3 linked regions of the Drosophila melanogaster genome follow. The protein of the gene in region 3 purifies or fractionates together with the protein of the main gene of each other region. This does not show direct contact. Each region holds a gene or a part of one and is shown on either strand. Other genes may lie near its edges.

The links.
Region 1: the proteins of CG6340 (region 3) and Pcyt2 purify together in Drosophila melanogaster (affinity purification with mass spectrometry, with the first as the bait; one large-scale study listed by BioGRID). This does not show direct contact.
Region 2: the proteins of CG6340 (region 3) and CG8026 purify together in Drosophila melanogaster (affinity purification with mass spectrometry, with the first as the bait; one large-scale study listed by BioGRID). This does not show direct contact.

Annotation. Positions count from the first base shown.
Region 1 is NT_037436.4:1,550,175-1,558,382, reverse strand, and holds Pcyt2 (phosphocholine cytidylyltransferase 2), read right to left. Parts: upstream 4,891-8,208; 5' UTR 4,487-4,890; coding exon 4,373-4,486; intron 4,306-4,372; coding exon 3,982-4,305; intron 3,923-3,981; coding exon 3,215-3,922; 3' UTR 3,068-3,214; downstream 1-3,067. Other genes in the region: CG12099 (uncharacterized protein), read left to right, coding at 501-594, 669-2,111, 2,166-2,320, 2,380-2,814; Pcyt1 (phosphocholine cytidylyltransferase 1), read right to left, coding at 5,757-6,518, 6,582-6,905, 7,095-7,589.
Region 2 is NT_033778.4:9,183,734-9,195,219, forward strand, and holds CG8026 (uncharacterized protein), read right to left. Parts: upstream 8,364-11,486; 5' UTR 8,016-8,363; coding exon of another isoform or gene 7,869-8,015; 5' UTR 7,697-7,868; coding exon 7,543-7,696; intron 6,614-7,542; exon of another isoform or gene 6,537-6,613; intron 5,488-6,536; coding exon 5,334-5,487; intron 5,276-5,333; coding exon 4,921-5,275; intron 4,533-4,920; coding exon 4,387-4,532; coding exon of another isoform or gene 4,281-4,386; exon of another isoform or gene 3,402-4,280; coding exon 3,242-3,401; 3' UTR 2,937-3,241; downstream 1-2,936. Other genes in the region: CG45085 (uncharacterized protein), read right to left, coding at 7,869-8,015.
Region 3 is NC_004354.4:15,478,921-15,489,614, reverse strand, and holds CG6340 (uncharacterized protein), read right to left. Parts: upstream 7,242-10,694; 5' UTR 7,141-7,241; coding exon 7,078-7,140; intron 6,434-7,077; coding exon of another isoform or gene 6,417-6,433; coding exon 6,195-6,416; coding exon of another isoform or gene 5,940-6,194; exon of another isoform or gene 5,235-5,939; intron 5,086-5,234; coding exon of another isoform or gene 5,047-5,085; exon of another isoform or gene 4,723-5,046; intron 4,494-4,722; coding exon 4,347-4,493; intron 4,284-4,346; coding exon 3,174-4,283; 3' UTR 3,003-3,173; downstream 1-3,002. Other genes in the region: Gmap (golgi microtubule-associated protein), read right to left, coding at 1,982-2,074, 2,140-2,373; CG6324 (uncharacterized protein), read right to left, coding at 8,598-8,665, 8,894-9,002, 9,079-10,694.

The sequences.
Region 1 (8,208 bases), on a different chromosome or scaffold from region 3:
AATCGAAACCCCGCGATAGCAGAGACCGTGTGTCGGCAGTGTGTGTGCAATTGGCAAGTGGTAATTGTCGGAAAGATTCGGTTTTGGACCCGCAAAGAGCAGCTAGCGCAGACGTCACACCTTTTTAGGCACCAATACGATTACAGCTACTAATACTACGACCCACAGACTAATAGAACAACAAAACAAGTGCTAGAAAAAGAGAAGAAGAATCGAGCCGCAAGTCCAAGTACTTAAAAAAGTACTTTCGCCTCGAATTTAACTGCACTTACTCGCAAAAGCCGCATTTGATTTTTTGGAAATATTACGCAAGTACTATTTCTAGTCGTACCCGTTGGATAATCATGGCTCAGTAAACATGAATCCGCAACGAGAATACTTTGCTCAGCGCACTCCGTGTGGAGACCTAGGCAAGACGCAATTAGCCGCCCACTGGCAGCTGTCCAGCACCCATACTATTACTATTCCCCAAGACAAGTGCACCTCCAGTATCCACAACGATGGACAGCAACAACAGCAGCAACAGCAAGAAGCAGCCTCAATCCTCTCATCATGGCAAGTCCTCGTCTGCTGAATCGCAAAGGAAGTCCAGTGGTGGGTGCTCCATTCTCCTGATATTTTTATATCCCGAAAAGGTTTTAATATTGGTGCAACCTTCTCCTCCGCAGAGTTACATACCAACAGCAACAAGCAGCGACACAGCCGTCGAAGGAATCAGGTTCCCACACCGCGCAACGATCAGCAACAACAGCCACAGCAGCCAGCAAAGCTACGTCCCAATGTGGACAAGCGTCCGAAGGCTCGCGGGTTTGGAGGCGGTTACGATTTCCCTTCACCCCGTGGCCAGGACGGGGCTTCAGGCAGCTCCCGACTAGCCTACTCCGCCACCGGCTACTCACGTAGCGGTGACTTTGACCATGAACTGAACTCTGTGTATACACAGGGCAGCAAGAAGCAGAATCTGAACCATCTGCTTAACTTCCACTGCGTGCCCAGGGAACTGGAGCGAGGACATCACCATCAGGCCCAACAGCACCACGGCCTGAGTGGCCGAAAGCAGCGCTACAACAAGGAGCAGTTCCTGCAGGCCAACTTTCAGTTCGTCATTAGATCGGGTGCAAAGGCTCAGGTTAATGGCTCGCCGGATGCACTCATCGATTGGAGCTACATCGAGCAGATCAACATACAGACCACTGAGGAGTTGCAGTGCCCCATCTGCCTGTACCCGCCTGTGGCTGCCAAGCTCACCAGATGCGGACACGCCTACTGTTGGCCCTGCTTGCTGCACTACCTCTCGCTGAGCGACAAGACCTGGCGCAAGTGTCCTATCTGCTATGACGCCATCCACGCGGGAGATCTGAAGAGCTGCACCATCGAACAGCTGAGGGATTTGCAAGTGGGCGAGAAGATTACCTTCCAGTTGATGCGGCGTCGCAAGGGCTCCATGTACATTGAAAATCATGTTGCAGGATTGGGCGAAACAATTGAACGTTTCCCCTTTGTGTCCGCTGGTGAAGAGGCTAAACGCTACTCAAAGTTTCTAATAGCCAAGCGGATGGATGTGGCCGCCATCATCGAGAGGGAGCGTAACGAACTGCTAGCCGAATCGGATGTCTCCTGTCCCGAGGATGTGTTCATCCAGCAAGCGCTGGTGATGCTTCAGGAGCGTGTTGAGAAGTTGGGTGTCGAGAAACCTGATCCGAAAGAGGATGAAGAGGAGACAGCACCTGTACTTTGCCTAGAAACCGAGACCAAGATTGATATTGAGAAGTCAGACGATGCCTCCATCTCGTCGGGAGAAGCATCCAGCAGCCTTAGCTACTCGAGCAACCATAATAAATACTATTATTTCTACCAGTCAAACGACGGACAGAATATTTACTTGCATCCCTTGAACGTGAAGATGCTTCAGGCTTGCTACGGCACCTTGGACTTGGGTCCGCTACTCATCGAAGCCCAAATCGTGCAGATGGAACAGCACTCTATGGATGAGGAGCATCGACGCAAGTTCACTTGTCTTGGCCACTTGCCTTTGACTTGTCAGTTTTCGGTTGTGGAAGTCGAATTGCAGCCGCCAGTGGTCACTGGAGGAATACTCAAGCTCTTTAAGGGTAAGTCCACTAGGTCCATGTACAGCATTATGCTTATATGTATTCCTTCCGCAGAGGACATTCTTCATCGTAAGAAGGAACGACAGCGTCGGGATCGCGAGGAGCGCAAGCGAGAGCAGCACATCAACGAGATAAATGACCGCCAGATGGGCAAACTTATTGCCAGTGCAGCTAACCTTGACCTAAGCTCCTCCCATGAGTTTCCCACTGTGAGCTAGCAATGCCTGCCATTAGTGTCAATTATTAATATGTGATATTTTATCTAAAGTGCGGCTTCGAGGAGGCTTTGCCCGCTCCCAGTGGCTCTGTGCCCATGAACATCAGCAACCAGGACCCCGGTTCCCGATACTCCAGTGTCACTCTGGGAAGTCCCAAGCAGGAGATGTGGCCCACTATTGGAAGTAATTCTCCTGGAGGTGGTGGCGCGCCATTGGATGTTCAAGTGGGCGCCTGGGGCCGTTCAGCTCCACCGCCGCCACGGGCTGTAATGGTCCCAAGAACCAGCGATGAGGACTTTGAGCAGCGATCTGTGGGCCACTGGGGTCTGGGAGAACTTTTAGTTGGAGCCTTGGACCAGAAAAAGCAAAAGGTAGGAGCAGCAAAATCCAATGGAGCAGCTCCAGCGGAATCGAAGAAGCAAAAGAAGGCCAAGGGCAAGAAGATGGTTCCCCTGTTCGCCACGGGCATGAACAGAGCTCCATGAAGAGCTAGATGATGATCGCTTATGAAGTTACAAGATTTATTGTATTTTTGTTTTTATGCGAATATTTCAACGTTATTTTAAATAACAAATGCGATTGTTCTATCATTGAAGAGGATTTGGAAAATCATTCAGCTAATCTATAATTTAACCCAACTTATATTCACAATACACATAAGATAACCAATAAAGGCAGCAAGTAAAATATCAAATAAACGCCTTTTTACTTTCTTGCCAAAAGAAATATTCATAATTTAACTGAAATTTATCGGAATGTATTTTAAGCGCATACTTTTTCTGGTAGCTCTTTTAAATATGTATAAAAGTGCCTACTGCGCTGTTCCATTAAACTTCAAACATATTTATTTATGTTTTAATTGATAGGAAGAGGCCAAATTCGTCTTTAGTCGCTGCGTCGCTCGTCTACGACATCCTTATGCTCTGGTTGCTCCGAGTAATTGAGGTTTGCTGAGGCATTCACCTTATCAGGGCGCTTTTGTTTTCGACTAAGGGATACGCAACTACCAGACCCGTAGTCTGGTGGCAGCTCCATGTACTCATCCTCAGAGTCTAAGTCGTCTGTTGCGTCTGGATCGTCACCGTTTACGGAGCCATTCGGACTGCCTGGTGGGCTGAGTGCCTGAATGATTCGGCCCTTGGACTCGTTCCAGAAGGTGTTAAGCCGCTCCCGGCCGAACAGGAGCAGGAAGGCATCGATGAACTCGCGCGACTTCTCCTCCCACTTGGTGATGATGTCAACCTTGACTTTGGTCAGCTCCCGCTTGCCTCGTGTCTTCAGCTCGTCCATCTTGTTCTGCAGACGGAATTTCTTCTCGGAGAGAAAGGAGACGTTGAGCTCCTTGGCTGAGTAGCCTCTGGCCAGGTTCCTGCGCACATATACATCGTAGTCCTTCACGATTCGGGCCACAATGTCCGACGTGGACACGCCCTCAGTGCGTTCCGTGGCCACAAACATTCCCTTCGCTTTGAGTGGAGCATATATGTCGTTGACTCCGCCAGCTCCATAGGGTATGTCATCGTGGGCCACAAAGTCGATTTTGTGCTCCTCGATAAACTCCTCATTTAGCGTCCACGGAGCATTCGGAACGATCTTGTGATGGATCGAAAAGTGTATAGAAACATTTCATTGGTTCAGTTTAACACACTTACCTCATCCACGTAGCGGCAGTGGCGCACCGCCTCGTAGCGCTCGAATCCATTCATAACCGTGCGTCCCTTCATCCTGAGGGTCAGCTCATCATTGCACACGCCGACGATGAGATAGACGTTGGGAAACACATTCTTGGCCTGCATGAGTTGGCGGGCATGGCCTTGGTGGAACAGATCATATATGCCATCTGCATAGACCCGCACCCTGCGCGTCGTCTTCCCAGCTCTGGCCATATGATAGGTGATCCTCTGTGTGTAGTCGCATCTCTCGAGCTCCAGCATGGCCTTGTCATCGTACGAGAAAGGAGCAGGCTGGCAAATGCTCTGGAGGCGTTTTGGGGTAGAGAGATTAGTATGTGGCAACTCCTGTTCCTCTAAGGAGTAGCCTTACAAAATCCTCAAAGTCCATAAAGAGCGGTAGCATCTTAAACTCCATCGGCGATGTCGGTGTGGCAGGAGCCGTCGACACTGGAGATTCGTCGTCCTCTTTCGGCATTCTGTCCATTGCTTATAAAAATATATGTACGAGTATACACAACTAAGTACAGCACTAGTGGTCCGCTCAAGGGGATTTCATCCGGACGACTGATTACATAAATTGAGACGGAACCGGCATAACCCTCTAGGTCTACTCTGTCGAGGATTGAGTCCGAGACTTTGAGCGAGAGATGTCCCCAACTGCGCACTAGCTGCGATCAGAATAAATTGGCGGCAACTGGTGGCGAATCAATACAATTGAGTCCAGCGGCTGGCGAGGCACACGACTTGGAGGCGGCTCTAGCAGTCTCAGGCCCAAGTCTCTGGCTCGGATTCATCGCTCATCTTCAATTGCCGCAAATTGCGGCGCAAGCAAATAGGAAGCAACGGGTCGGTCGCCTGACTTGGCACGGGTCCGCCGATTCGATCAGGCGATGGGTGCGCATCTATATATAAACCGCAGCGCCATTAAACAAATCAGTGAACCGCTTCAAGCCGGTGAATGGGCAGCTAATTGCGAGGGAATGGGTGTCCAATCAAGGCAAACGGTTTCATCATCATCGGTGGCGCGCGCTCAAGAATTCCAGCAGTGCCATGGATGGCTGCTGAATCGGATGCGCAATTGCTGGATAAACGTATGAGATAGCAAACTGATTCACAAGCCACTCGCTTTACTTCTATTTCCTTTCGATTCAATGTTTATTTTTCAAAAAATATTTAACAAAGCATTTGCAATAGTTCCGCTATTGCCAACTGTTACTAATTACTTGTTTTTGTTTTTTGCATTTTCCGAATGTATTTCGTAATTTGTTTGTTTGGATTTCTCTATATTGGTTGGTGTTCTGGTTGCGGTGTTGTTAACTTAGTTTAATGTTATGCGAAATAATTTAATATAAATATTTCTAGATATTTTCGGCACCTGAATCTGCCGCCACTGCCGATTGATTTCGTGCACAGTCCGTCGAGTGCCTAATACAAAAATGAGTCTTTTCCGCGTTGGTGGTTGCTTGTCCCACACACACACACACACAGCTAAATTAGCTACAGGATTCCCTCGATTCTCACAGATGGAGATGGGCAGGTGGAGTTGAGGCAGGAGGAGAACGAGTGCCAACTAAAACATTGGGATTACAATACCACTTAGGGCTAGAGTAAATATAAGTGTGTGTTCGTGGAGCCTGCGTGGCGATCCTGGGGCATCTATAGTGTGCCGTCGAACTAGTTGCAAGCAAGTCCATTTACAATAGCATTAAAGACATTAAGAGAAGAAGAAAAGATCGGGCTGCCCCGCAATAGAATCAATTGCTTCGACGCTCGTACTCCGCATCCGCATCCGCATCCTCGTCCCCATCCGCTTCCAAGTCGGGTGATTGGCTCTGCAGACTCTGGTAACTGCGGCGGGCCAGCGAGGAGCGCTTCTGCTTCGGCCTCTGTTTGCCGTTCAGCGATCCACTGCTGCCGCTGCCGCTGCCCCCGCTCAACTTCTCGGCCATCTCCAAGTACTCGTCAATAGTTTCGCTGTAGTCCTCGCCGCCCTCCGTGTCATCACCGTTCACTGATCCCGACGGGCTGCCCGGCGGACTGAGTGCCTGCAGCAGCTTGCCCTTCGACTCGTTCCACAAATGATTCAGGTTCTCACGTCCGAACAGCAGCAGGAAGGTGTCGATGAATTCGCGCGACTTCTCCTCCCACTTGGTGATGATGTCCACCTTCACCTTGCTCAGCTCGCGCTTGCCGCGCGACTTCAGCTCGTCCATCTTGTTCTGCAGCCGGAACTTCTTCTCGGACAGGAACGACACATTGAGTTCCTTGGCCGAATAGCCTCTGGCCAGATTACGACGCACATACAGATCGTAATCCTTGACGATCCGGGCTACGATGTCCGAGGTGGACACACCCTCAGTGCGCTCCGTGGCCACAAACATGCCGCGCGCCTTGAGAGGAGCATAGATGTCGTCCATGCCATCGGTTACATACGGAATGTCGTCGTGGGCCACAAAGTCGATTTTGTTGTCGGCGATGAATTCATCGGACAGAGTCCATGGCGCATTCTGGACGATCTGCAAGACAGAGTAAGATGCTATAGACTGAAAGATCTCTAATCAGTGCCGGGCAGAACATACCTCGTCCACATAGCGGCAGTGACGCACTCCCTCGTATCGCTCGAAGCCGTTCATCACGGTGCGTCCCTTCATGCGGTGGGTGAGCTCGTCGTTGCACACGCCCACAATTAAGTACACGTTGGGAAAGATGTTCTTGGCCTGCATTAGTTGGCGGGCGTGGCCCTGGTGGAAAAGATCGTAGATGCCATCGGCGTAGACCCTCACCCTGCGGGTCGTCTGTCCGGAGCGGGCCATCTGGTAGGTGATCCTTTGAGTGTAGTCACATCTATCCCGCTCCAGCATGGCCTCCTCGTCGTGAGAGTAGGGCGCCGGCTTGCAAATTGTCTGCAGGAAGAAAAGTTCCCGATTAGTTGGGCTATTCAACTGGACGATTGTGTCCTTGGTCTACACATTCTTTCTCGATCTTATCACACATCGTCGGAAATATACGACTCACGACTCGAACATCAATTTCAAACGATTTCAGCTACTACGATTTAGACTAACTTTGCATCCTAACTCTTGACTACTTACCGCAAAATCGGAGGCCCCGCTGAAGAATTGCTGCGAGGTGGATGCGGGCACCACCCGGTGATTCGGCGACGCCTGCTGCTGCGGGACGTACTTCCGCTTGACGCCGTTGAGGTAATCCGACTGTGGGGGCAGCAGGTCCTCGGCGGCTGCCGCTTCGCCGCCATCGTCGGCGTCGCTTTGTGAGATGGTGCGTGTGCTGTCCCGCAGTGTGGTGGCCGAGGTGGTGGGCTCGCTGGCTCCCTCGCCGACCACCAAGACACTCTCCAGCTGGCCGGGCCTGCTCTTGGACTTGCCGGGGCTGTTTGTGCGCTGATCCTGAACTTCCGATACCTTTGTGGCGCTGCTGGAGGCGGTGGACGAGGGCATGGCAATGGCTATCTCGTAGGTCCGCTTCCGGGTGGTCAGTGTGGAGCCGGGGGACGCGCTGCTGCTGGGCGTGGCCGGTGGCGATGTGCTATTAATTGTGCTTTTGGCGAGTATCGATGAGGTGGCCATCGCAGCGAATGTTTGGGAGCGGCAGTTTTAACGGCTTCGCGACGCGGTGACGGAGGAACAGAGATTCAATTGACTTTCAGCTGGAAGAGATCGAGAAACAGATTGGTTACCATCAATGCTCTACATTACTTTCCCATATTTTGTGTGTTACGTTTCGTTTACATCACATTTAGTCTTATGAAATTATAAAGTTTTTCTTTGAAACCGCATTTGGTTAGCTTTGCATTCTGTTTATATGTAGTTGCAAGCATCATTTATCAAATTTCTTCATTCGCTGGATTTTATTCAAATTTCCCTTTGCCAATTTTTCCACCACTCCAACTTGTAACTTTTAGCCAAAGGGTTAATAAGTTTTCTCAAAAAGGAATAACAATTTTACTTCAATGAACCAACACAAGTTGTATTCTTGTTTTGTTTAATCGACACATATGCACTTGTTTACCAAGCAATTTATAAATAAAATCCAATAAAGCAGTAAACAATTCGAAATAAACAAAGTTATTTTTGAACTACAATTTAATGCATTGGTGCATAAGCAAAAATATATTACACATTCGCGCAGCTAATGGAAAGATACTTTCTTGTGAAACCATTTTTATGTAATCAGATATTCCCTTTT
Region 2 (11,486 bases), on a different chromosome or scaffold from region 3:
ACAACACTGCGGAGTGAAGTGGAGTGCATTGCCTTGGCCAGCGATGCGCCGAGGGAGTTGGAGCTCGATTACATAAGGAGGATGCTCTGCGAGTGGCGTACAGCGATCCCTCAATGGACTCTGCACACGCTGCTTTGCGTATTATCGGTGGGTGGCATGGAGTGTAGTGCCAGCTCATATCTTATCACGCAATGGAGTCGCCCATAAAAGGGGGAGGAAGAGGAGGCGAGAGGGCCCTGATTAGATAGTGGCCGAAATGCAATAAGACCTTGTGATTCATCGAGCGAGCTACATGCATGTGCGATGTGTAAATGGGAAATGCTGGAAATGCCAGGCAGTAATTAAAGAGCCCACACTTTCCTAGCTTGCTTCCATAATTGACCTTCAAACGTGACTTTGCCTATGTCTGATGAACCGAATCCGTAGCCTACCTCCTTCCAATCCGCATTATAGTTTCTCAACAGTAGCGGATATCTATAGCCGGCTAACCCGGCAATCACTTAAGTAGCTCAACACACCCACATGGTTCCGTCCCCGAATCCGACCCTTCTATGTGGAATGTGTAGTATGACCATATCCGTAGCCCCGCTTCACATTGTTTTGATTTTATCGTCTGGCTTGTAACTGAGCTGGGTATCCAATGAAAAAGCAATTGTAATTTCATTACCATTTAATTGGTAAAATTGGCATTGGGAAAATGGCAATCGGTCGATTGAAGATTAGAAGCAAACTAATTCTGAAAGGGAAATTCATTTTGTAGTGTGGGTGGAAAAACGTAATAAAATGGGTACACTGATAAAAAAAAGCTTCGATTTTTATCTATAGTATAGATAGTATTAAAATATAAATGTTAATTTATGGACTTTTGAACTTGCCTTAAATTTGATTCATATTTATTTCAATAGGGAAATTAGAATGTTCGTGGAAAAATCCTTAGATGAAATTAAATTAAAATGTAATTATTTGTATCAGTGCATTGTGATATTCCCCATTGCGATATTCCACATTCCGTGCATTATTCACGCTCCGTAATCCCATCTGGTGGGTTTCCGCAAAGTTCTCTGAGCAACTAAAACGGCTAATGAGTACAAGCTGGTTGTGTTAACGGCCTGACGAGGCGAAATAGCGAAAGCCATTGCAACACTTGGCCAACTTATTTTTGGGCATTTCCCACACTTGCAAAAAAAAGAGTATATATTTTTTTTTGAAAAGTCATCATTTAACGCCAATTTAAAATCGCATGAAAGTTGGTGTGCTATGACTATTTGCTAATGCTTCACTATTTAAGATTTCCTTTTTCAAATTAAAAATAATAACCAGTAATTACCAAGTACATATGAATGTAGGTGCATTCTGATCCCTAACATATGGGTTCACGCCCTTTTAATTGTTTAAAGTATGTCCCTCCTCCCCACATTACATTTTGGCACGTGCCGGCTGTAGGCAAACACTTTCCATTGCGGGTTATGGTGGAGGTACTTACTCCGTTGTGCAGGTATCCGTTGTTCCTGTTGATGTCCATGTGGTTACGGTTGACTCCCGCGGGCATGACCGTGGTCAGTTGCAGCGCCTCTATGGCGCCGAGATCCAACTCCGGCTTGGGCTCGGCGTAGGCCGGAGAAGCACTTCGCAGCGAGAACTGGGAGGAGCTGAGCGGCGGATGCAGCTGGGTCTCCGCGGACGGGAAACAGATCTGGCGGCGCACGAAGATGGGCGACTCCTTGGCGCTGAGGGCGCCCAGTGAACCGGAGCCTGAGCTCACGGGTCGGTGTCTGTGCTCCACGGGCAGGTGACCGGACTGGGTGTTCGGATGCTGAAGATCCGTGGCCAGGTACTGGCAGCGCAGGCAGGCGCAGGTGAGTTCCGAGAGCTGATCGGCCGACTTGGATTTGGGCAGGGCCTTGACCAATCCGGCGGACTCCTGTTCCAGGCAGTCGCAGATATTCTGGCGTCCGGCGGAGGTGGAGACAACGCTACTCTGGATGACGCCGGTTGCCATGCAACCACCGATACGGGGTGGGTGAGTGTGATCTTTAGACCTTCTCCGCAGTTATCTAACGCCCCCGCCCAGTCAAGGTCGTTCACACGCGCTCTAGTGGCCCTCTCCAGGCACAGACGTATAACTCTCGCTCTTCGGAACGCGGATCCCGAGCAACATGTGGTTCTGGTCTAACGGTAAACAATGGCTAGACTGTTCTTGAACTTATCAGAAGAATATGTAGGTATTTATTTGCGAGTTTCACAGCTATATATTTGCGGTGTTATCTCAATCGATCGGTTTGTTGAACTCGACCGTTGCACTTTTTTGGACAATTTCATGCACTCGAATCGCTGGAAACTGGTTTCAAATGCAAATGGAACAGTTCGGTGGTAGCCACTTACTTTGGATCTTAGTGTCATAGGGCTTAAACGGTCGTTTGCAACTTATATTGTTTGCTCTTGCTGATAATTATACGAATCGTAAATTAAATTCACACACGTTCGATTTCCAGGCACGCAATACTACGCAAGACAACAACAACACGAGCCAAGACGGCGCAAAACAACAACAACAGTGATTCCGAGCCTCGAGACGTCCGACCTCCAGTAATTTCAGTTTATAACTGAACCGAAAACAAAAGGAAAACTTTGTCGCACGAACAAATCCGAAAGCGAGAGCTTTGCGAAAAGCTCTACGTAGAAAACCGTTAAACGGACTCCGAGTCGGACTAGATTGAAATCCGCATCGTTTGGCGGTAAATCGATTTTTAAGTTAGAGCGGCGTTAATTCAAATATAAAAATATATACTACTCCTAGAGGGATACCACTGTGGTTGCTTTTTGCAAAGCTTACACGATCTATAAAGATGCCAGATGGTATAATTTTCCAGATAGTTTATTTTTTTTATTATTATTCATTTAAACAAGGATATCACACCCAGAAAAAGGCATTCTTTGGCTCACAAAGATTTGGTTTATTTGCAAGAGTGAGGCTATGGACTTATATTTCACAGGTATATTGTAACACTTTCGTCTGAATTCAATCACAAATCCATTCTGATCCACACTTAGGAACAACAATCACTTTACTTACTACGAAAAGACCAAATAAGTCTTCGCAACAACTAACTAAACTTAAACTAAAAGCAGCTGCGCATGCTCAGCACGATTGCAACTGCCCGCTGACTATAGAGACATATGGAAATGTCGTGAGGTGATATATGTATCTTAGAAGCCTAAAAGGAATCCAACCAAAGGAAAATCACACGTCCGACGCATCCTCTTTAGTCTCAATTCGCTTCCGCCTGGCGAGCAGGAAATGCGAGACGTTCTCGTACACCAGAAAGGTGACCATGCAGGCAGGCACTACTCGGGTTAAACTCGCCTTCAGCCCCTTGTAGAAGCCTCTGTAGCCCTCAAACCTGCAAAGAGAACCAAACACAATGCGGTTAGAGACTGAGAACTGAAAGCTACATCTACTTACAGTAAGGGCGCATTGGCTGTTTCAGATTAGCAAAGAGATTCTGCACAATTAAGGGGGTGATCGAAGACTTAGGGAGCGGAAGGAGCAAGGACTACTTACTCAAGCTGCCATGAGCCCTTGGACAAATGAAAAGACGCAGGCTGGACGCGCTGACAGTGTTTGCTTTAGTTTGTTTCTTGGTTTTCATTTAGGTCTGCCATCGTGGCCTTTTAATATGGGTAAGTAATTTCGCATTTCTTATCTTTTCTTTGATTTCAATAAGATTGTTCCACTGTAGGACTAAGTTGGTTTCACAATGCGTTTATGCTTATTTACATAAATGTCAAGGTTTATCCTTAAAATTATAAACCATTTTCAAAAACTATGAAGAATCTTTTTGCCAAAACGAAATTTTGTATCAACTAAACAGTAACTGGTTTTTCTTTGTGCTTACACAATTCCAAGCCGTTATAGAATAAATAATTTAACTAAACTAAGAACTAAATATGTGTTTGTTTTGATGAAGAGTGCAAGAAATGCGTTTTTGAAATTACATTTCATGGGCAGGGGCTATTTTGACGACGCCCCGATCACATCAGTTACTTTCGAAGTTGGGAGTGAAGGATGTACAATAAACTAGATATGGAATACACTTAAGGCTAAAGTAAGGTGCTAGGGCTAAACCGAAATCGAGTTACAACAATAATACAGAATAAGTTTGTCATTTTCTGCTGTTAGCTGCACATCGGAGGAAACGAGAAAGATTCGTGTATTCTAGGTGCTTAGCTTAAATTCTCTGTCAGATTCCAGATTCGATGATCTAGTACTAATACTCCATCTAGCTGGTCAGCTTCTCCCAGATCAGCATGACCATGCAGATGTTGGGCGTGACGTGGACCAGGTAGGGCACCAGGCCCTTATAGAAACCTCGCATGCGCTCGTACCTCCAAGTCTGTTTGATGCAGTCCCAGGTGCCGTTGTATCGGTGATGGTGGTCCTGCAGCCGTGCCCGGACCACCTGGTACGGGTAGGTGGCCGCCGCTGCGATCAGCTTGGAGACAGCCGCGAAGGCCAAGTACTCGGTGGTGGCCTGTGGGTGAGGGAGCACACATTAGTGAGGCGAACAGAATGAGCTGAATGGCTGCCAAATGGCGGAGACGTCATCACAACCAGATATATTCGGATACAGATACAGATGTGGTCACACAAAATATAACAAAGCGAACAAATATTTTTCTGATTAAGAAAGTCTTCTAACGAAAAAAGTAATTGAAAAAAAAGTACTCGATAGATTTTCAATTTTTGAACGTTACGCATTAAACTTAAAGACTTCAAAGTATTTTGTTATTTGTATAAGTAATAATTTTGTGCTATTAAGTTAACCGCATCTGTTCACCCAATTTAGTATATAGGCGATGTCAACGCCACGCGCAGCTTGGTCATGTGATGGGTTGGTCATTTGTGATCTGCCTACTCACCAGCTTCGTGTCGATGGGCAGTTTGCGATATTCGTTGTAGGCGTTCTTCAGCTCCTCGTAGGTCATGAACTGGATGGCTCCGTGGGAGACGCCCAACATGCCGGGAACAAAGCCGCGGTACAGGCCACGGATTCCCTCCTCCTTGTATATCTGGCCCAAGGCGTGGATCATGCCCCTGTACTCGGCACTACTCGCGGCATCGCACTGCAGGCAGAGACGCGTCTTCACCACCCAGATGGGGTTGGTCAGCAGCAGGGTGAGAATTCCCGACTCAGCAGCTGCAAGCATGTTCATTGTGGGGCCCAATGGCATGGTCGTGTTTCCTCCTTGGATAAATGTCTTAATGGTGTTGTAGCTGAAGGGAGTATTTACATTTAGGTTTGTTACCATTATCAGTAGAGCAAAGTACTTACAACATGAAGTACAGGCCCCAAGAGGAGCCCGATCCCCAGACATTGGGGGTGACGCCTTTGTAGAGTCCGCGGAAGCCCTCTTGCCGGAAAATCGTGGTGAAGGCGCTGCTCAGTCCCCGGTATTGCGGCACCGTAGCTGTCCGGCCATCGTTAACTGCAAGTGGAGAAGGAATCACGCTCGTAAATGATAAACATGTCTAGACATTGCAGCCTTGGGTCTGGCACGATTATGATTATGGATACTGTCACTGAAGGGCCGGCGAATGCGTCATATTGTGTGTATTGCTCTTCACCTAGGCAACTGTACGTCTACGGGAATATCAGTTGTTGACTCCGAAACCAACAAGTCCAGGCCCGTGGCCAAAGTTGTTTTCGCCAAAAGCAGATAGATAGCATTAATTGCCAGCGGATGCGATAAGCTGGGAGCGTCGAAATCAGCCACTCTACTTGTTTTCGCGCCCATTAGCAGATACTTAGCTATTTATATGGGACGACATATTCTATATGAGCTGGGCAATCATAAGATCTGGCCTGACAACAGTACCAGGCAGAAGAAAGGGGCTCGTCTTCGCTTCTAGACTATTTATAGCATCCTCATGGGTGACCTTGAAAGGAGACTGGACAGCCCAAGAGGCAAGTTCTTTTGGGGTATTTACGACTAAGCAACCACATTGGTTTTGGCCAGCGTAAAGAGTTTTTCGACATGCACTCGATAAAGTCGCAGCGATAAGGTCGCAGAGTGCTGAATCAGTCGACTTCCCGCATGGCAACAGTTGGAACTCGTTTTTAGCCACTGGAACTGGCGCTTGTGCCACATAAACCGGACAGTTGCCGCTGAAAGTTGCCGTTAACAAAGCCATTGCAATGTACAGTCGAGTCAAGTGGTCACGTGATTAAAAACGAGCAAGAGCAGAAAATCAAAAGCAAGATAAACGGGTTTCGTTTGGCCAAAATGCGTCATCGCCATAAAGGCCTTGCGCAAGTCAATAGAAAACAGCTGTTGCCAAATCGAGAAGCCACCGGATTCAAGGAGGTTCATTGCGGCGAAACCACTAGCTCTGGATTTTCTAACCATCCCAACTTGGGTTCGCTTTATCAGTTCACAAAACTCGCATGGTGTGACTTTAATTCGCATAAACAACTCGTGTGCTGGTTGTTATTGTTTACAAGCCACTTTTCTGGTGAATTTACATATTCACTTACTGCGTTAACGATTTTTAGCACTGATCCGGGCAAACTGGACGGCAACAATATTTAATAATCAAGAAACCCGCTCTCGGTTCGTTGTTGTTGTTTTGGTATCCCGAAGCAGACTATACGGAAATGTTGTTCATGTATTTTGCGCATGAAACGCAAACGAGGCCAAACATATGATTCAGATTGACTACAAAGAAGTAGTTTTCAGCAAATAGTCATAAACACAATGGCCTGCGTAAGCTGATGGCTCATATTATAGCCATTAATATCAAAGGTTGATAGCTTGTATCGATCTTTGGCCAGGCGGCATAAAAGTAAAAGCAAGTAAACAATTCGAACTGCTGTTGCCCCACGTTTCCTGTCTGCAAAATCCAGATTAGACCAATTTGAGATTCCACACACAATTGTCAACACAACCATAAATTTCATCTTTCTATCGCATTGAGGAAAAACTATGTTTTCACGTGCCCGTGGCCCCATTCATCAGCATTGTTTATGTGCGAAAGCATGCACGTCACTACTTGACTACACGGGCTTCTCAAATTTTCCATGGTGCACAAAAAAAAAAATCAAGTGCGAATTCTCGGATACCCGAGTAGCGTCTCAAACTTTCCATGGAAAATTTGTAAAGCATTGCGCAAACAAAACGCGAGCGGCGAGTAAAGTGCAACAATAATCTGCAGCCAGACTGGCGGCATTTCCCCGCACGTGCCGAGTGCTCTTTACTACACAGCAATATACGTAGTGCTAGTTCCTATGGTGACATATACGTTTTTCTCTATCAGTTGACAATTTTCTTTTAATAGGTATAGTTTTTGTATTCTATTTTAAGCCCAGATTAATCAGAAAGGTGCCTATATTACAGAGCCATATTGCGAAACACAATACTTAAATTAGAGCACTGGCATTTTGGATTATTCAACAAATATATTTCCCTATAAGATGTTATATTAGTGTACTACTGCTTGCTCACGGAAATCGTGGAATTCCCCGAGGCGTGTGGATGACTCACCTGCGAATCGAATCTTGATCAAATCCAGGGGATGTAGAATGAGTGTGGACACCACTCCGCCGGATACTCCGGCAACCAAATGCTCGTACTTGACGTGTGCGAATACGTTGAATTTCTTGGGACTGCCCGTTGACTGTGCCTTGATCGGATTCATATTGTGCAATCTCTGGTGATTTCTTTTGCGCTCGTTCTGTATTATTGTTGCTATCGCAGGCTTATTGGCTGCCCCGGTTGAAACTCACTTTTGCTACAGTGAATTGTACTAAAACTACGTGCTATTTACACTCTTTGGCTTTTCGGCTGCTTTCGACACAGATGGGCGCAAATCAAAGGAAATCGCTCGTCGAAATTATCTTGTTGCTAGGCGCACAGTTGTTGTTGTTGCTGCTGCTGCCGCTGCTCCGGTTGTTTTTGTTGCTGCCGCTGCTACAGTTGAAACATTTGTGCCTTTGCTTTGTTGTTGCCCAGCTCATATTTTCACTCGTTTGTTGTCGTTTATGAAGACTTTGTTGGCCAAATTGCTGCCCTTTTTGTGTATCTGCTGTTCAGAATTGCTGATGCAATATTAACTCCGAAATTGTTTCAAAATTATTTTCGTTTGGCCATTCGTTTCTTATGTAATGCCGAACTGAAAGGGCAGCCTAAATAATTGCCTTCGTTTTTTGTGGTCTGCTCAGCTGACAAGCGACTGATTAGCGCACTGCAATTAATAATCAAGCACGTGTGGCAGCAATGAACATTAAGTAACAACTTTTCTACGCGCGAGCAGGCGGATAAATGCGAACAGCAAGCTCTCCAACGAAAAACGACTAATCGACTTTGAGCACAGTGTTACCATATGTGCGCCAGGGCCGATAACAATAAAAATACCATCCAGCCGCAGAATAAATACCAATGTACATCATATCGAATTTCAAAATGTCATATTCACACCACTTGATAAAAATAGGTATTTCCGCTTCATATTACTCAAGTATGTCATTAAACATGTTATTAAATAATTATTAAATATTTAATTAAATTATTATGTAATCTCATCTCTCTTTAAGCTTATATTAGATAATTCCGGTTTTATAGAAAAAAATCTATTTTTAAGACATATAATGTTCTATCTTCTTCCCAAAAATCTAGCATAAAATTACCTAATCGTCAAACATTACTTTTTTTTGTTGTTTAGTTACATTTATTTTGGTAGGAAGACATAATAATTTTGAACTTGGCTATCAGAGTACACCATATTCATATAGCCGTGCCACTCTCTTATAGAAATCCTTAGCAAAAGTCAATTAAATTTAAGGAGTATTATAAAAAATTACAAACTACTTGCAAACAAAAAAATGTTGATTGAGTATTGTACAAAGACTAAAGGAAAAACACCAATAATTAGGATACTAATTATACAACCGAAACAAATCAAATCCTTAAATATTAAGACTTAAACTCATTTTAAGGTCGATAAATAAGGAGTAGGAAAAGTTAAGTAGATAGAAACCCAATTAATTTTCGAATAACTTTCCTACGAAGGCAGTCAATACGACTAATTCCCATGCAAAGGTATTCAGCACCAATATAATATGGAATATGGAATATTCAATGAGTGGTCATGCAATCGAATGACCCGCTAATTACTGAATAAACCATGCTTGCCCACAAACGAGCATCGACAACTGTAATTTACCTTCGATATTCCAATTAAATTGTGTAAACAATTTGGCATAAGCCAGAGGTCCTTAATTACAGGTCGCGGAAAGGGCCAGGATAGAGGTATGTATGTATGCGCAATAATGGCTAGATGGATGGGGTAGAAGGGGTAAAATGACACAATTACCAACTGCAGTAGGCATCCGCCGGATCCGAAGTATCGCCGCAAATTGAGTGGGGGCGTGTCCAATGTTGGGCAAACATCGGACAGCTCCAGCTATATGACTATATGCTCCGTGTAGCTCCGTGTTCTGCGGTCACGGGAACACATGTTCGCCTTCACATTGCGTCGAATGGCATGAAATTTTAATTTCATTAGTCGAACGATATAATTTAGAGACCGCAGACAGCGAGCAATTCGAGGTACTTAGTTGCAGATACTTTTGTATCTCATTATACGTATGGCTAGAGCTTTAATTGTGTTCGTTTTGTGCAGTGTGCGCATTTCTGTGCATTTCAGGAATATGCCAAAAATTCGCAACGATTTGTCAGTAAATAATTTCGAATTGTTCTCCGTCTGCAGGCAATCAAAAAAATCTAAAAAACGCGCTCGCTCAAACGAAAGAGAGTATCTGTAGAGATGTATCTTTCGCCCTCTGCACATGGCACTGGGATTGGGGACTGCGCATTAAGGATTGGGGTACCACGGACTGGGGTTGGCGAATCCGGGGATGAGGAATGATGATGGTGTCAACAGTGCTCTGATTTATTTGAGCGCATTCAACGCTTCGTTGCAATTCGTTAATTTGCCCGTTTTCCGCCGTCAGAAGAAGGGAAGCTGCCCAGAAATATTTACCCACACTCGGCGGACAGTGTCTATAAGGATCCATCCCCGCCCATCCCTGCTGATTCTTGACAAGCTGCCAAAGTGCCGAACAAAACCCAACAGCTTTCATCATAATCAGAAAACCAAAATTATCAACGAGCCGCATAATTGTATTGTAATTTATGCCGCTGTGGAATCGGTTAAATGTTCGCAATGTTCGGTGCTCGTAAAAGATTTCAAACACCCAAACGTGACCAATGCCAATTTGCGCTCCAATCAATGGACGCCTCGTCACTTATGGCCAAAAATTTGGTCAATTACGATCAATTAAGCCATACACATGCAAATTATTGCCACCTGCTGCGCGAAGAACGATCGGCATATCAATTGTGGGTGCTTCGGGGGAATCGAGGAATCAGGGAACGGATGTGGATTTGTCCACAGCGGATGTAGGAAACAGTAGTCCCATCCATCTGCTTCTTGGGGACGGTGGGGGTCACGACTGCAATGGATTGTTGTCTGTATTTTGTGGATACTATAAACGTACTTTTGTATAACCTATGTATGTATATATACCCTATGTAATAACACTTGTTGGAGGTATTTATGCCTGTTTACCTTTAAAACGAGTTATATAAAATATTTAATTTGGCATATCAGGCCTACAAAAAATCATTGTTAATATTAATCCTTGCAATAAATTAGGGGTCATTAAATTATCAGCGATTGCTACCATCCAAGAAATACGAGTATTCCTTTGAATAATTCTGCCTGTTACGGATGTCACTTTCAATTAAACTCTCTTAAAATCTATATTAGTGCGCTTAAGAACCAACTAAATACCTCAAACACCACCAATTAAAATTAATAGTTGTACAGAGCTGTTTACTGGTATGTTTAGATAATTAAAACCAGATATCCGTAGACTAATAGATATGCACCTAAGTTGCAGATACAAATCGTTGAGCACACTGGAGTGTCTGCTAATGATGCCCAGCAGTCACACCCACTGGCAACTGACATTTGAATTTAAATTGGTCACTAATATGCCTCGCGAGAACACCATCCTCCATCCTCCGTCCTCCGCCGGCGGGAGTACTCCCCAATGGCCAAGGAGCTGGCGAAGATGGGGCATTAATGGCAGGGCGTTCTCTTCGCCAGTCCGGCGATGTCTGATTACCGAGCGATTCGAGCAGAACGCAATTACGGAGCGGGAACGCGGGCGGTGGTGGAGGTGGTAGTGGTGCTGCTCCATTGCCGGAAACTGGTTCGCTGTCCGCACCACCCGGCAATTAGCAGCTGGCCAATGGGAGCGCGCGCCAGACAGAGACACCAGCTGTTTGTCATGCGCCATATTGAAATGGAGGAGGAGCCAGACCATCCGTGGTGGTGGTTGCTCGGCGCCTCTGGGCTTCTGGGCTTCGACTTGGGTGCCGTACGCGTACGTGATGTCTGCTGCACTTGGACAGTCGCTCGC
Region 3 (10,694 bases):
ATGGAGATGGGGACGAGGGCACACTTATCGCCGGTCGCCTGGCGCAATTATGCAAAACAATATGGTGACCCAACTATCGATCCAAAAGATATGGCTATCTTTAGATAGTACATGCGAGATAGCCCAGAAGGAAAAATCTGGGAAAACATATATCCACATATATAGAAATCAAATGATGAAATGATGAAAGTTTGAGCCGATTAAGTCATATCTTACTCAAGAAGATCAAGATTTGAATTAGCTGACTAGAGCAACCATTCATCTATCGACATTAAATTAAAAGAATAGATCAAAATCGCTTACATGAAAGAATTATATATATGTATCAGATATCCGTATCGATTTTCCAACTGCTTACTGTTCAGATTTCGCCAGCTCCGATAAGGAATGAGTATTTATGGTTTATCTCTGAATATTCGTACTAAATGATGCAATTTTCCCTCATAATTTATGCTTCGCATGTTTGATAGGAACTCATTTTTACACAATCGATTAGCTAATCAGAAACAAATATAAAACATGAGTAATGATGGCCGAAACTAGAAAGATCAATTTGCCAATTTAAGCTGCAACCAAAACCGGATTTAGAGCAAATAAAAATCTGGCAAATCATAATGGCACGTTAAATTAACATAAATATATATCATATTGTATTTGATTATAAATTGATTAAAATATTTTGATGTTTTTTAAACAATCAATTTTAAAAGCATTTTTAATGAACAAAAAACTACAAAACTTTATATTATATTAAAAGAACCGTAAATTTCAAAAAGCAGGCAGTTTGAAAGTATACTCGTAATCCATATTGTAAAGTCTTTGGGATTTCTAATTTTTTACCTACTGGCAATGCGATCGATTTGAACTTTAGATCATAATACAATGGTTCATTATTTTAAGAATTAAATAAAGTATCTACGATTCTAATAAAATTGCCAAAGAGTAATTCAATCATTTCGAAAAAAATATAACATCTAACGCTATGGTTATATATGCATGTCATTTAGTATTTTAAAACTAGATCTACAATGTGAAAAGCCATATTTTTTATATTTAAGGTGACTATGGAAAATCTGGTACAGTTGTGCTTCAGAAAGATCTCCATCGCCCCAGTGACCAAACCAAATGGCTCCAAATGCAACCCCGTCACCCTGCATTTTCAACGGGAATATCAGACACTTGGGGTTGCGCTGCAGTAACTTGCCTAATCAGAAATAATTCGGTAAATTGAACAAGCAGTTGGCGAACGGAGGGCTATGGAGCGATAGGGTTAGCAGCACGCCTAGATAAGGCTAACAGGCATATGGGGTGATCGAAAAGGAGACCAGGGATTTATGACAGCCAGGCAAATAGCAGACACCAAACACCACCGAATGTGAAATCAAATAGAAGTTGCACGGGGAAAAAGGTGAATGGATGTCAAATGAAAAATCAGTTTAAATTCAAATTCAAATTTATCCAGGAGAAAGTTAATATAAAACCGTTTTTAGCATTAGATTGCTAATCCGAAAGCTCAAGACGCTCTAATGAAATATGGCTTACCCTGCCATACTATTAGTACATTCTTTGCAATCGAGAACTTGGCTTATTTTAAACCCCCCTTTAATTGTTGGCAAAACAGAAATCGGTGAATTCTAGCGCTTTGTAATCGTGCCACGGAAAACAACAATATGCCACTGCAACCATTTTTCTCTCCGTGTGAAGCATACAATGTGGCATCAGGTAAACGCGAGAAGTGCAGATAAAACTAGGGTAGTGCCGACTCCTAGCTTATCGCAGTTTAAATATTAATTCAGGGATATGTGGCCAAAAGCGAAACAGAGAGCGCGAGAGCTGGGCTTATCGCTTATTTGAAAGATAAAGCCGGTCAAACACCACTCCACGCCGGAGTGCAATGTTTCCTGGAAGACGGAGTGGGCACCGGATGTGGCATGGCCACATGGGGGCCAGCTGCAGGTCCCTCGGATCAAACGTCACTTACCAACTGCGGTTCCCGCGTAGCTGATGTGCTGGCTGCCAGCTGGGATTCCTGTTTCTGCTTGCTTTTGGCCAGTTCTCGGCGCAGGGCGGCTATCTGAAAGGGGCAATCGGATGGCCATTGGTGAAGAAGCCGCAAAAGTGACTGTGAGTTGGCTTTACCTCACGATCCTTCTCCTCGCACCGCTTGTCCAGCTGCTCCTTCTGCTCCTGGGTTTCGGCCAGCAGTTCCAGGGCTGTCTTGGCCTGCTGCTCGGCGTCTTGGACGCTAGCACCTCCTGCTTGATGTCCCTCATACTCCAAGTCGCCGGGTCCTGCCGTTTCGGCCAGAACTTCCTGCGCCAGATTGGTTAGTTGGCCCTTCAGCTGGCTGAGACTGCTGTTCAGCCACGACATCTTCGCTGCTCTCTTCTGGGCAGCGTGGGCGGATAGGGGGCGTGGCTCTTCTCGACGAGATCACTCCGCTTTTGGCTAGCTGATTGCTAATTTCGGATGAAGTATGCTTAGTTTTTTGGAAACGATAATTTTTTTTGCGTGGCAGTGGCACAAACTCAAGCGGTTCTGTTTGCTTCGTTCCACAATTTAAATCCAATTTGGCTGTTTGTTTTAATAAAGGATGTGTAAGCTTTATATGCTTTTGTTTGTGTTCTAGTAGTATTAATTCTCTTATTTATTATTATTTTTATTATTAGTTTGTGATATGGTATCGATATCCGACGTCCTATCGTCAGCTGATTTTGTTATTGTTATTGTTTTTGGTCAGCTATCGATTGGCGATAGGCAGACCGACCGCCAAGGTGCATGGCAAAAAACTGACATCTACTAAACAGAGTGCCAAAATTTAAAATTGTTTATTGTAAAAAAAAATACCTTTATTTATTATTGAATATTCAAGCATTCTTCGATTAGAGCCGCTGAACTTTGTAGTTAAAGTTGGATACTCTTAGCATACTTAGTAATAGTGTAGACTAAAAGTCTACCTAACGACGCATTTATCCCAAGCAAATCCAAAGAGAGAGCCACGTCACTTCATAAATTCTGTTGCAACGTTTATTTGAAATCAAAAAAACAAAAAATTTTCTCAACACAAACAAAAAGTTGTTGAGGAGAAACATATTGACTGACTAATGAGTTGAGTGAGTGGCATGGTATTTACAGCCTGGCAGGGAGCCGATCCTCCTCCGTTCCGATCCCTTCTAGAAAGTACGTGGCTGGGAGCCGAAACCAAGCCCCACGCCACGCATCGTGTGTGTGGCGGCTCGCGCCATCTCGTACTGCTGCTCCATGTTGGAGAACATGCGCTGGCGCTGCTGCACGTCCGTGGGCACTTTCGTTCCGCCAGCGGCTCCCGATGGCGCAGCACCTCTTACTGCGCGGTTTCCCTCGCCTGCTGCACTTCCATTGGTGGACTCCGCCTGGCCGCCCTTGCCATCGTCATTGCCGGACGTACCAGCGTTCTTGATACCCATGAGCCGCATAAACTTGGAGGCCACCTTGCCGTCGGAGTCCTGGGAGAAGTGCGCGTTGCCCCACTTGTTCGCCGAGTTCTCGCTCTTCTTGGAGCCCCACAGTAGCTTGCGCTTCTGCTGCTGCTCCGCATAGCGATTGGCATTGATGATGCTCGGATTGTAGTAACTGGGCAGCTGGATGGGTTCTGCGACTGGTGCTGCTGCCGCTGGTGTGCTCAGCTCCAAGGACATCAGCGAGGGTATCTTGGGCGCATAGTTGGGCGTGGGCAGGAGACCGCCGCCACCGCCGCCGGATGAACCGGCTGCCATGGCTGCGGCTGTTGCATTGGCAGCTACCAGAGCGGCCGCTGCAACCCTCGCCGCTGCTGTTGCATTAGTTGCCGTTGATCCTGCTCCGCCGCCTGATTTAGCGAGCAGCATATGAGATCCGGCCACAGCTCCACCGCGAAGTGTTGTGGCTTGTTCTTCCTTCGGAGATCTGGAGCGGCTGCTGGAGTCGCGTTCGCGATATTTGCGTGACTGTTGCGACTGATGGCGGCGACGAGAGGGCGGCGTGCCCGTTGGTGTGCGGGAACCGGATCGAGAGTCCCGGCGACGACGACTGCGTTCATCATGGGATCGACGGACTGATGCTGCACTGACCGCTGCAGCGGCGGCTGACGATGAGTTGTTGTGATGATGATGATGGCGTTCCTTGCCACTGTGGTGGCGACTGCTCTTCTCCGAACGCCTACGGTCCCGATCCTTGTCGCGATCTCGCTCCCTCTCCCGGTCACGATCCCGCTCCCGCTCTCTGTGGCTGTCGCCGTCTTTGGTACGATGGTGGCGATGGTCGCCCTGTAAATAGCACAGACATTAGTTTGGCTGAGTTATGCTGAGTTGATTAGGACTCTGTCTCACCTTGCTGTGATTCTTGTCGCGTCCTTTGTCGCGACTGCGTTCTGAATCGCTGCGCTTCTTGTCCTTGTCCCTGTCACGTTCGCGGTCGCGGTCCCGTTCCCTGTCCTTGTCCCGCTCCTGGCGGTGGCGACTGCTGGGCTTCGGCTCCTGGAACGGGATGAAGCAACACATTGAGGAGAATTACATTAGAGCGTATGGATCTACGAATCTGCGCCGGCGACTAAGGATCTAGGTCTAGTTGCTAGATGCTTAGGATGCTGGAGGGGAAATAGAAAGAGGATTCGGGCTGTGGGCCACCAGCTGGGGTCCTTTCCGGGGTGTCCTAGATTGCTTAGAGAGTTGTTAGGTTCTATTTGATCGCTTTTTGTATACTCACTTTCGTGCGCCTTGATCTCTCTTTCGCATTATCTCTCTCTCTCTCTCTCTCTCTCGCTTTCGCGCCACCAGTGAGTGAGTGAGTGGGTGGATGGGTGGGTGGTTGTGTGTGTGTGTGTGTGTGCGGGCGGGCATGTGTGTGGTGAGTGTGATCGTTCTATTTGCTTTTACCTTTTTCAGTGGCTCACACACACCCACCAACACAGCCACAGAGTCGCACACAGGACTACACACACAGTGGTGGTCATAACAAATTTGATCGATTGTCGCACTATCGAAGAAGCTATTGGTAATCGAGCGATTACTACGATCGGGCTATCGTCAATTATCGTCGGTCAGGTTTGTTTTCGTTTTTTGTTTTTGACTTGTTTGTTTGGAAAATGGTTTTTCGTTTTGGTTCGATTCGGTTTCGTTTACGTAACAACAATAACAATGATAATAAAATGGTAGAGTTTAGTCATTTAAATATTGATTGGCATATAAAGTTTGTAGACTTAACTAAGCTGGCCGAACAACAACAACAACAATGTGTGTGTAAATCGCAAGCGGACCGAACAAACAGAATTTTCTGTCTTTGGATTTAATTTTGAGTTTTTGGCCCATATAAATCTGGCAGTAGCGAAATTTGGATGTAACGGGTTGGAGCGCATGCAGTCGATCGTGGAGATCAATATACATAAATATATGAATATTGAATTTTTCAGTTGGGAACAGCAGATGACTAAATAATAGCACAAGAAAATGCCTGAAGCCCCTAAAGATGCAGAATCTAACAAGATCTGCGATTTATATCTGTAACTAATGGAAGTATTAATCAATGATAACCGAAGTAAAGCTGAACTACAAGACTACAAGAAAAGATTGTGAATCTGTTCTTTTCTTTAATTGCAATATAAACTATAGAACCAGTGGGGAATGGACTGCATGCATTATTGTGTTTTAACATTCCATTAATTTAGTTTTAACAATGAAGTACTGCTGCCAATGACCTTGCCTATGTATAGAATTATTACTTTTGCTGGCGTAAAGGAATGGAGGCACTGAAAACTAGGCTGCATTATTGATTTGATGCAGTGTCCTGTTTTTTTGGCACAAGTACTTTTCATTCATTACGTGGCATTTTCTCTTTTTTATTTGAAGTGAATTGGCCAATGTATACAACTGGGATTAACTTTAACTCAAAAGTTTAAAAGATCTCGGTTTCGATTTGATTGATATCTATACATTAGACGTTTGATTTAAAGCGGACTCTGTGCTATTATTTTGCCTGCCTCTGTAAGTGCTGCTGCTGGCAGCGCAGTCGGCGATGGCGTCGCCCTTTGCGGCAGCGGAAGGAAACGGCACATGAAAGATCCGCTTGCGCTCCAACCCAGATACACACACACACACATACGTATGGAGTACAATAGCATATGGTATTTGGTATATATTATGGGAAGTAAATATCGATTTGGTGCAACGGCAAGTCTTTACCTCATCAATGCGTCCTCTGCTGCTGCTCCTATGACTCTGCTGCTGCGACATCGGCTTTGTCTTCTCTCTCTCCCGCTCGCGCTCTCTTTCTCGTTCCTTGCCGCGCGGACTGTTGCCGCTGCCATAGTTATTGTTGTTCTTCTGCTTTAATAAGCTATCAGTTGTTGTTTTCGGGGATTTAGCATGCGGCAAATGCCGCAGTTGTTGTTGTTGTTGTGGTGCCTAGGGGAATTTTGCAACTTTTAAGAAACAGCAAATTCGCATTATTTTACTAAAGCACTAGGATACTTGAACTATATTATTGGAGTGGTTAGTGGTTTTGATTTTTGCTCGTTTTTTTTATGTTTTTTTTAATTGATGGGATCAGTTATCTTTATTTCGCGTTTCCGCGCATTCGTACACACACACAAGCACACACACACACACACGGTTCTCAAATACGGCAATCTCTTTCCTTGCCGCGCGGACTGTTGCCGCTAACATAGTTATTGTTGTTCTGCTCTAGTAAGTTAGCAGTTGTTGTTGTTCTCGAGGATTTAGCATGCGGCAAATGCTGCAGTTGTTGTGGTGCCAAGGGAATTTTGCAACTTTTAAGAAACAGCAAATTGGCATTATTTTACCAAAGCATACTTGAAATGTATTATTGGAGTGGTTAGTGGTTTTGAATTTTCCTCGTTTTTTTATGTTTTTTGAATTGATGGGATCAGTTCTTTATTTTGCGTTTCCGCGCATTCGCACACACACAACACAAACACGACACACACGCGGTTCCCATATACGCAAGGAAGAAAAAAGTGATGAAGATGTATGTGTACACAAAATGCGCTCTGATGATTCTTTCTTTTTTCAGCTGCTTCCGGCCTTGCGGTGTAGGCATATTTACCCGTATCTGAAAGCCAGCATCCTCCTGGTCGTCCTCACTACTATAATTCACTAGGGCCTCCATTGTTTGGGGCCAAAAATTGTTTTAGGCCAAAAATGTGGCTGAAGCACGCAGGTGCGTCCAAAAAAAAAACGAATCAATTGCTAAAAAAGAAAGTAGTGGTGGAACTATTGATAGAGATGAAAAGTGTGGCCAGCGCGCTTCGAAGTATCGATAGAATTTCCTAACTATCCGTTGATAAATAACGGTATATTTGAAAAGCCGATGTTTTGAAAAACGAAACGAAAATAGGTAAAACACATTTCAAATACACTAAAGCGCGTGTTTTTAAACTAGCTTTTTAAGCTTAATTACTCATATAGTAAAGGCATATATAGAAAGGCATATTAATTCGGACCATTCGTACCCGCCTTAAAGGAGATCGAAGAATGAGGTACCTCGGTTGGCTTCAATTAAGCCTCATTGATGGGCGGATACTGTACACGGCATGGAGTTGCTAAACGGTACTGTAAGGAGTAATCCTTTTCGATTCCGTTATCCTGACTATCTGGGCAGCAATTAGTCTGTCAAACACCTTTGAGATCGAAAGGAGAAAGCTGATCGGCCTGTTGGAAGCGGGCTCCCTTTTGTTTCGGTTTGCCAGGTTTATGGATCATGGAACTCATCCAGAGCTTCCACTGAGAAGGAAAGTATTGCTGCAGCCTCGCAATAGCGTTGAATACCAACGTTATTAAGAAGATCAGCTTATGCTTCCCTTTTTTTAGATTCGTACAATTGTTCACATTCAAAAAGGTTGAAAGTTGTTTTATTTTTTTAGTAAAGATTTTATTATCATCAGTTGTTTGCATAAAAAATGTAAATATAATTGTGTTTTGCTTTAGTCCCTAAAATTGTATGGGAATGGATTAATTACTAGCTATCACAAAATTGTAATCACGAAATTGATCACGAAACTGATTACTTTATGGCACACAAATTCGATATTTACACGAGTCAAGCATTTTGATGCATGTTCGGTGGTTTTATCAGGTGTGTTTATGAAATGGTTAATGTAATTCTGTTTTCTGTTAACAATAGATTCGCATACGTGCGTAAATGCAATTTCGTTTTCTGTTACCAATAGATTCTCGTATTTGTGTTACCAATTTTTTTTTTCTGTTACCAATAGATTTGTGTGTAAATGAAATTGTTTTTTCTGTTAGCAAACAATTCTCGTATCTGTGCAAATGCAATTATTTTTTCTGTCAACAATATGTAGATACATATGTGTGTAAATGCAATTCTGTCTTCTGTTAATAGATATGTCTCCAAAGGTATACAAAAAAAAAAAGGCTCTTATATTTAGGCCACAAATAGATGTTTTCAAAATTTCTGCTTCAAGTTGTCCTGTTCCTCTGAGATTTTTCAAATTTCCAAATTCCTGTACTTGTTCGATGTCCCGGGTAGCGGTGGGAAGTTTTTTTTTATTCAAGGCGAGATCTTCCAGTTTTTTGAGATCATCTTTCTTTCCATCCGATCCTCTAGCAAAAACGCCCATCAGAGTCACTATCTTGGCGCTCCGACTCCATTTTGTTATTAAAGCGACGCTCTGTGTTGCGAATAAAGTGAATATAAGTGTACATAAGTCTTAAATGTCTCAAATGCTAAATACTACTGATCTAAGCGTTTACAAAATTCAAAAAAAGCTTTCTAGAATGCATGAATCTGTGGGAAATGCAAATAATGTTTTGGCATTGATACTACAAGCTGTCGATACTAAAAGTGCAATAACCCAACCTAATTAAATTTAGAAATTTATAAAAATGGCGGTCCTTACTTGCAACCTTTAGACCACGATTTGGCTTGCGTCCGCCCGACTCTTCGCCTCCATCAAAACGTCCTGGACGTGGTCCTTCCTCTCCAGACTTTAAGTAGCGCATATTCGGCTGAGGAGGTAGGCAAGTGCATATATTAGAGATATACATATATACTTTGCAGACCAACAAACGTGATTATCATTACCTGATTCTCGTGTTGCTCCTGGCGATGTCCCAGTAATGTCCTGCTCATTTTGCGCGCCATCTCTTGCATCTCCGATGAAAAGCTGCGCGTACGCTGCTGCGTCTGCTGCTGCGGCTGTTGGAACTGCTGCCGCTGTTGGAACTGCTGTCGCTGTTGGAACTGCTGCGGCTGTTGGAACTGCTGCCGCTGTTGGAACTGCTGCGGCTGTTGGAACTGCTGTCGCTGTTGGATCTCTTGCGGCTGTTGGAACTGCTGCGGCTCCTGTTGGTTCTGTTGGATCCGATGGATCTGATTGATCTGATTAATCTTATTGATATGATGGATCTGGCGGATCCGCTCTATGAACTGCAGCTGAATCTGACCAAATGGCGCCGAAGAGCCGGTAGACTCTTCCGTGCAGTATCTGCCAATGGCCGTCTCGAAGAACGCCTCGCCGTACTCGGTGTACATCTGGGCAGCGTACAGCTCGATCTGTAAAAGGTTGACCATGATGTGGTCCATACTAGCAAAGAAGTTCATGTAGCTGGCATTGTGCCACCAGTTCTCATATAGGTACTGGATTTCACTTTCCGGAGCCGACTGATTATTGGTATGCAAGTTGGCAAGCTGCATGGGAAAGTTGTTCGGAATCCAGTATGTCGGATCGGCCGTCACGTTCGAGGGCATCGAAATGGTTGGATTTGACTGGGTCGACGGATTGGGTGTCACATGTCTTGGCTTGGGATCATGGCGCTCAAAACTCCAAATAGTCTTGTTTGGCGGCAGCGTGCTATCGCTCCTATAGGTCTCCCAGACAACCGTGTTGGTGCGGACCTTAAGTACCACTTGCTCCTGATGGTGGCGGCTGATGAGTTCAATATTGTCGTTGTGTCTCCTGGCCATCAGCATCTCGTAACCAATGGGCCTCAGCGTTTGGTTAGCAAACGTATCCTCATCATCGGAATCGCTGTCACTGTTTATAAAGTTTAGACCCAATGGGTTGCGCCGCAATCTAACGGATGCCTGTATCAATGACTCGACATATGGTGTGAGTGGTTTTGTCAAGTCCCGAGGAGCACCATAATACACCGGCACATCGGGTAGGTCATCGTCGAGATCGATGGGCATCGTCAGCGGCGGGTCAAGTGGCGGAGCTTCACTTGGGGAACCAAGTAAGGGGTGCTCCTCATCCATTGGCTCCGTGGATTCCATTGGATTTGTTTTCCCCGTTGCATTCATTTGCGCCGTTAGATTCATTGCCTCCATTGAATTCACTGGCTTCATTGGATTTACTGGCACCTTGGAATTTATTTGACCATTTGGATTCACTGGAACCCCCATCAAATTTATATGGCTCATCAGATTCATTTGGTCCATCGGGTTCATTTCGCACATTGAATTCATTTGGCCCATCGGATTCATTTGGCTCATTGCATTCATTTGCCCATTTGGATTCCTTGGCTCCATTGGGTTCATTTGTCCATACGAATTCATGTTCATTTGGCCATTTGGATTCACTGGCCCCCGCATCAGATTCATTTGGCTCATTGCATTCATTTGTCCATTTGGATTCCTTGGCTCCATTGGGTTCATTTGTCCATACGAATTCATGTTCATTTGGCCATTTGGATTCACTG